Coturnix japonica: one gene and its partner. Each later gene encodes a partner of the first gene's protein in a complex. Links are inferred from orthologs where the notes say so. Each region holds a gene or a part of one and is shown on either strand. Other genes may lie near its edges.

Evidence for each region. The genes of interacting proteins can lie anywhere in the genome.
Region 2: FNIP1 (region 1) and LAMTOR3 share a complex: the UniProt entries of both Homo sapiens proteins name them as parts of the lysosomal folliculin complex. The link is inferred for Coturnix japonica from reciprocal best matches to the Homo sapiens genes FNIP1 and LAMTOR3.

Annotation. Positions count from the first base shown.
Region 1 is NC_029528.1:1,574,782-1,578,429, forward strand, and holds part of FNIP1 (folliculin-interacting protein 1), read left to right. Parts: intron 1-152; coding exon 153-322; intron 323-1,615; coding exon 1,616-3,041; intron 3,042-3,397; coding exon 3,398-3,566; coding exon of another isoform or gene 3,567-3,648. UniProt on the Homo sapiens protein: Binding partner of the GTPase-activating protein FLCN: involved in the cellular response to amino acid availability by regulating the non-canonical mTORC1 signaling cascade controlling the MiT/TFE factors TFEB and TFE3.
Region 2 is NC_029519.1:54,082,870-54,086,617, forward strand, and holds the start of LAMTOR3 (ragulator complex protein LAMTOR3), read right to left. Parts: upstream 2,278-3,748; 5' UTR 2,164-2,277; intron 2,028-2,163; 5' UTR 1,989-2,027; coding exon 1,980-1,988; intron 1,901-1,979; coding exon 1,866-1,900; intron 1,698-1,865; coding exon 1,639-1,697; intron 1,149-1,638; coding exon 1,015-1,148; intron 397-1,014; coding exon 333-396; intron 38-332; coding exon 1-37. Other genes in the region: DNAJB14 (dnaJ homolog subfamily B member 14), read right to left, coding at 3,605-3,729. UniProt on the Homo sapiens protein: As part of the Ragulator complex it is involved in amino acid sensing and activation of mTORC1, a signaling complex promoting cell growth in response to growth factors, energy levels, and amino acids.

The DNA of each region.
Region 1 (3,648 bases):
TTGACTTGAAATGCATGTTCTAAACAAGAGCTCTGAGCATGTGGGAGGAGAGGAGCTAAGGAATGACCTCCATCGCTTTGTTAGCCACCCACATCCATGTGAAGCATGGAAGTGCTGTCTGTTTGACACACTACTGTACATTTTGCCTTCAGGTTTTTACCAGCTCTCCTGACCGCAGTGCTGACAAACCACCTGGCCTGGGTCCCCACGGTGATGCCCAATGGACAGCCGCCTATACGGATCTTCCTGGAAAAGCATTCTTCCCAGAGTGTGGACATGCTGGCCAAAACTCACCCATACAACCCGCTGTGGGCACAGCTCGGTACGTGGCAAATACCTTTAAACTATGTGAAGGAGTACAACTGGTGGTATTCATGGATGTGTGGTACATCCCCCCATCCAAGCTGAAATTATCTGTTTCTTTTCCTACTCAAAACTAAAGCGTGTATTTCAGGCTCAGAGATATTCACTGCATTTATTTATTTTTTTTCTTTTTTCATGTGCTATAATTTCTTAAGGCAGTATCAATTGTAAAATGGCAGCCAAAAAGTCATCTGTGACAAATCTCCTGCCCTGGTGATGATGGAGGATTCTGTTCCTTCTCTTGTCCCGCCTCTGTAAAGAAACTCCATTTTGATTTATTTGGGATGCTGCTATCGATAAGCTTGATTCTAGAAAAAGCACATTTAGAAAAATCCATCTTTTGGTGAGAAATGGAGATACCATGAGCACAACGGGCAAAGGAGTGACACAGTACAGGAAATCAGGACCTGGGTAAGGTCTCAAAGCCCAGCTGATTGAGTTGTGTTGTCTTTAATTGCTGAGTAGAGAAGAAAGGATGATATTCTTGCTCTCTAGGCAGGTTGTCTCGCTCTGCACGCAAACTTCCACTTGGATGGGGAAGGGAAGGCTTTCTGAGGTTACCCTATTCCAGAACAGGCAGGGATGGCCAGGTTTTTGGCAAGGAGAATGATGGCAGAGCTGATGGGACTCAAGGGATCTCCTGTTGTTGCGCTGGCCTTCAGCGCCTCTCAGATCCCATGTCCCTTTTCCATGCTCTCATGCAGTGTCCTCATACCTCCAGAATAATATAGGTGAATCTGGAGACTGGTCTTCGAAGCTGCCAGAACAGCCCATCTGACCCATAGGAGAGCTCAGGGGGAGAGAAGAGAAGGTTGGCTTCGGCTGTGCACCTGCCACTGGCACTTTTTGCCTACATTCTTGGCATAGGTTTGTGTCCCCTTACGGCTTTCTTTTGGTAGGTAAAAGTTCAGCCCAGTTTCCAGGCTATCCAGGGTAATTCAGAGCAGATGCCTCCTCTCTCCCATGACTATATATGGAATATGGACCAGCGTCCAGAGCTTGGGACTGAAGTGAGGTGGTGCAAATACTCCCTATTATGTGAGATCAGATGTCCCCCTGGCCAGCGTGTCATCTTACTTATGATGCCAACAGCTTCGTTAGAAATTTCTGTATTGAAAACAGAATAACAGCATAGCTGTCCTCACTATTCTTCTGTTGTGGGCCTTGCCTTTGAAAGATGGCCACAACAGCTGCCTGTTAGAAGAGTTCATTTTGAAGATGCAAAATAATCGCCTTTTATTTCCTGTTCCAGGTGACCTGTATGGGGCCATTGGATCACCCGTGAGATTAGCCAAAACAGTTGTGGTTGGCAAAAGACACGATCTGGTACAGAGGCTGCTTTATTTCCTCACTTACTTCATCAGATGCTCGGAACTTCAGGAGACGCATCTGCTAGAAAATGGGGAAGATGAAGCCATAGTCATGCCTGGAACTGTTATAACTACCACGCTGGAGAAAGGAGAAGTAGAAGAATCAGAGTATGTGCTTGTCACAATGCACAAGAACAGGGGTAACTTGCTACCAAAGGAGTCTGAGGAAATGAGAACTCCTAACTGCAGCTGTAAAAACTGCAAATGCCCGATTTCTCTTGCACAAAACATAGAAGGTGTTTCACAGCAAGAGAGAGAAGACGCACAAAACACTCCTAAGGTGGAGCTGGAAACTTCTTCAGATGAGAGCAGAACTATTGTTCCTGATGATGGTCAGGAAGATGCTGCTGATGGTCGTCAACCCAGAACCTGTCAGGACACTAAACTAGAGAGCGTGGTGTGCACAGGGTCATCTTCACCAGAGAAACGTGTGTTGGCAGAATCTGGTTTGGAAGCAACAGCAAATGTGTGGAGGAATGAAGACGTGCTGGAAGCAGGCAGCCAGGCCATCGGTGCAACGAGGTCACCCGGGATAGCTGTGGAAAAGAAACCTCCAGATAAGCTCTTCTGTGACGCTTTTCCTTGCAGCGCTGCCGAAGCTCAGACAAAGGTGACTTTCCTCATCGGAGACTCCATGTCACCTGACTCAGACATAGAGCTCAGAAGCCAGGCAGTCGTGGAACAAATTGCCAGGCACCACAGCCCGCCAGCAGCGGAGGAAGGAGTGTCTGCTGATCAGAACTGTGAAGCTAAACAAACTGTTGAGGACCAAAATAGAGACTGTGGGACAGCTGAACCCTTTCCTCAAGTTGCTGGTGAGCATCAGAGCTGGAATGCAAACGCGTACAGCGCTGAGAGCATGAGTCTGTTTGATGACAATTTTACTGATGATGGCTCAGTTGAAACCCGGACTATTGATGATCTTCCAGGGCAAGCAGCTGCAGAGCTTCTCACTCACAATGGCGGTTTAGAGTTCTCTAAAAAGCTGTGTGCAAAGACTAGCAAAACACCCAGCGAATTTGGTAAATTTATGGACTCCGTGCGACAGGAGACCTACAAAAACTGCTTTGCTGAGCAGGACCAAAGAGAGAACATCTCTATTCGTGTCCCCCATGGGGACAGAGAAAACGCAGAGAAAAAGGTGGCCCCGGGAATTGATTGGGACATTCCAAGAAATGAGAGCTCAGACAGCGCCCTGGGTGACAGTGAAAGTGAGGACACAGGTCATGAGCTAACCAGACCGAGCAGTAACTACTATGGAGGAGAGCAGGAAGACTGGGCAGAAGAATATGAGATTCCTTTTCCTGGGTAAGTACCATTCAGCTGTAAGAGCCCAGAAAAGATGCAGCCTTTTCTCATGTCACATGTTTGGAGGAATGTAGGCTAACTTGGCATCGGCGATTGGAAAAGCGTCTCTGGAGCTCACTGGCTGTAAAAGAATATGGAGAGATCAGTGGTCTGGAAAAAGATATTCATTGTGTATTGTGATCTTGGCTTGTATCTTTTTTTTTTCCGTGATGAGCTGAGTTTAAACTGTTTATTTTCTTATAGAAAGCTCTTGAATGGAAGTAAGAGTAGATATGAGAAACATGAGGCTGCAACCTCTTCCTGAGCTGAATTTGGTGTTTTCTGTTGCACATCTCTCTGAAGCGCCTTTCTTGCAGGTCAAAGCTGGTTGAAGTGAACTCTGTCCAGCCCAGTATTGCCAATTTTGGACGCTCCTTACTCGGAGGTTACTGCTCATCGTACGTCCCCGACTTTGTTCTGCAAGGAATAGGAAGCGATGAAAAGCTGAGACACTGCTTGGTGTCGGATCTGTCTCACGCTGTGCAGGTAATTAAGCTGTATTTGGGAAGTGTATTTGTCACAGTGGGGAGAGGTAAATGTTTTCAAACCTACAGATCTGCAGGAAGCG
Region 2 (3,748 bases), on another chromosome or scaffold:
AAGGGCGTGAGCTCCTTCTCCAAACTTACAATCAGCCCTAGGAAGAGACAAGAGACGCAACATCCATCAAACAACAAACCAGAGAAGCACTCTTACAAAAGCTTCCAAGTCTCAGGAATGGTTTTCCATAGCATTTCTAATGGAATCATAACCTCAGCAGGTCACCCAGAATCTATGGGTCTTTACCTGTGCATCTCCCAACTTTTCAGTATATTCCGACACATTAAGGAGAAAAGTTAATGCACCTTGAAGAAAACTCTATTTACTTTCAAATATTTAAAACATTCGGGGCTTAAAATACTGCAAACATTTAAAGCCACCTGGAGACGTACCGGTATTAGCATTGCTGCTGGCAATGAAGCTCACTACCAAAGGTAAGCGATTGAACTGCACCACCTGCAAGAGAGAGAAGCAGTTTACCCCTCAGCCAACACACAGTGGGTGCCACAGATAAACGTGCTAATGAAGCTGGCAGCACAGTGCAGGAAGCTGAGTGCTCTGTGGAAGCTCCTTTATATAGGTATCAAGTGGGCAGGCAGGCTTATGAGCAGACACTGGGTAGGTAACAAAAAACTCACAGTGCAAATATCCAGCTTGTAAGAACGGCAAGTAGATATTTCAGCGTTTTCTTACCTTGAAGTCCTTCTAACAGCAATATTAATTGTTAAGTGAGCTGCACGTGCTCGTTTATCTGTGTTAGTAATAAACAAATACCCTATGCAAAAAGAACATAAGCCCTTCGTGGCAGTCTGAAGGCACATCAGCAGCACCACCTGCTGGTGCTTGGTCGCCAGCTGCACAGAAAACTCGACCAACTTCAACCCGCCAGCCTTCTCAGCCTTGAGAAGCATTTAAGAGTTCAATAAAGCGCAAGAATGTAGCTTAGCCAGCTTTAACAAGGGAATTAAAGCACCAAGAGCCAAGTGGAAATCAAGCAGAGTTTCCACCATGTTCTCTCCCATGATGCTCATGGTAACACACGAGGAGCTCCGGCCCCAGGCTGCGGTCACTCACCTGGTATGTGTTGTAGTAACAGATGATGCTTTTGTTCTTGGAAAGTCCCAGCTTACTGCCCTGATCCGTTGCAAGGGCAAACGTGGACAGAAAGCCGGGTCGTAGGGCGTGTTCTGGTGCGTTATCATTGGCAACTGGGGCAGAACAAGAAAGTTTTTGCTTTAACATGGTATCAATGACTGCATCACAAACAAACCCAAAAGCTACGTGGTGTCAGAAACACATAAGACATCGCCTGTGCCTTCACAACAAGCACAGTCTTCAAGGGCAGCAGATTGTTTAATGCCTTGCAGGTGACCTGTGACCACAGCACAGCACTCCAGTTCACATCCCACATACAGTGCTGTGGGACACGCTCTGGGAACTGACTGCTGCCAAACAGCCACCAGAGGGGAGGCGGATGGAGATGTGCATGTCCAGCTGGCTGCATAAGTACTATGAACCACTAAGAAACACCACCAAATAGCAACACCGAACCTTGCTGTGCTTAAACCAGTTCACCTGCACCGCAGAGGGATCCTGAAGGAGGACTGAGATGGGCTAGAAATGACGGTACCAAACCCAGGAGGAATTAGCACACACACAGCTGGATGCTGCACACTGGATGCTGCACACTGCCGTTACCTTTGATGACAGGCACCCCGTCTCTGTCCGACACCACAATAGCGTGGAGACCTTCGACGCTGCAGAAGGAAGCGATAATTACAAAGGGCACAGCTGCTGCATATGACTCATCTACTGACCCACCGCCACCAACAGCCGCGCACGGGGCAGGCACGTGAAAGGAAGCGGCAGGGCGGGCTCAGAGCGGCACAAGGCGGAGGGGGAGATGCGAATGGAGCAACTGTTACCTGGGCAGCTTCTTGTAGAGGAACCTCTTCAGGTCCTGCGGGAACAGACAGCGCCGTGACACGACCCGCAGCGCATCCCGGCCCCCCGCAGCCCAACCGCCCCGCCCCGCTTACATCGGCCATGGCTGGAGGCCTCGCGGCGCTGCTGCCCCTTCGGCGGCCCTACGGGACGAGAGGCGCCCGCTCAGCGGCGGCACACGGAGCGGAGGAGGGCAGGGCCGGGCAGGGCCTCTTCCTCCCGCCCCGCCGCGGCAGCAGAGCGGGCTGTGGCCGATCCCCCTTGGCGGCCCTGCCGTACCTGACCGCCCCGGCCGCACTTCCCTTAGTCCCGTCAGCTGACACGACGCGAAGCGCCTCCTCACTCGGCACGGATCATTGGGCCCGGCGCTGCCGAGCGTGCGCACTGCGGGACGGCAGCGGGGCGACGGCACCGCCCGGCGCCGGGACACAGCGCCACCTGCGGGTCCGGAGTAACTCACTGAGGTACGTGGTGCTGGATGGAGGAGCCGCACAGTGTGTTTGATCATTTCCACGTCAATCCTGCAGCATTCAGGCCCAAATAAACGGACCTGCAACACCCCAACCACCTCTACCTCCAGCCCTGAACAAGTGACGCGGCTCTGAGCACAGCAGCACGAGCAGTGAGCACTGAAACAACCGGCCAAAGAACTGACAGGCACAAGGCTCAGCTGGATGTCTCTGTTCCACCTGTGGTGCCCATTGACAAGTCACCATCAGGATCTATCTCCAAATCAAAACACAGCAGGAAAATGGAAGTTTCCCAGGAAAAAAATAAATAAGTTGTTGTTTTTTTTTTCCCTTCACGTTTTCTTCTGTCTTCCCAGTGACAATTAAGGAAGCTCTATGCATGTTAGCCATACGTATGGATTTACTATAGCACTGGATACCAAATGAGAGAGCTACCGTCAGCTGCCACGAGCACTAAGAGCAATGCTTACCATGGTCAGTACAGCTGCCATGAGCACTAAGAGCAATGCTTACCATGGTCAGTACAGCTGCCACGAGCACTAGATGCAATGCTTACCATGGTCAGTACAGAACCTGCATACAACAGTCACCAGGCAAAGAGCTGAGTGCAGTCCTTCAGTTTTCTCAGCATGGCTTAGAAACACTAAAATAACCACAACAACTGACTGCTGTGCTACACCAGATGAACGCAGCCCAGCAGACCATTAGGAATATATGCTGTTATATTTAAAAATACCCAGTTCCTCTAAGCTGGCGGGCCTAGAAGATGTTACATAGAGATAAAACATTACAAATCCTCGTTCCAACTCCACACGCTCGACATCTGAATTGGAGTGATGTAACCAGACTCTATTTATTCCATCGGTGAGACAAAATGTTGTATGGAACTAAACTTCTGAGGTTTTAAATAGAAAGTCATTTAACTCGTATATACACAAAATGTTCTTTCCACAGATATTTACATGGCAAATATGTTAGAGGAGAACCACTATGACTAAGTTTCTACAAGTATAGCATCCTTTCTAAGCTATTCTCTCTGCTGAAAGAATTCACAGAAGCTTCGAAGTAAAATCTAGACAATTAAAGTTACCTATATTTCACAGTAGGTAAAGAAGCCGTTACATGATATTTCAGCTTAAGGTTTCTGGAAACAGCTACACAGTAGAGTTTTACATCCACCCTCTTTTCCAGCATTCACGGTGAAACTAAATCTCTTCTTAATTTACAGGAGAGATGCATACGAAAGCAGTTCATCCTCCTCGATAGAGGCTGGTCAAACGTTCGAGTTCTTTGCAGTTTTCCATGGACATGGAGTCTGCTTTCTTTCGGAGACGGTCATCTCGATAAACTTTCGATACATGAAGTAAATCTGTTTCTTTATGAGAAAAGAAAAA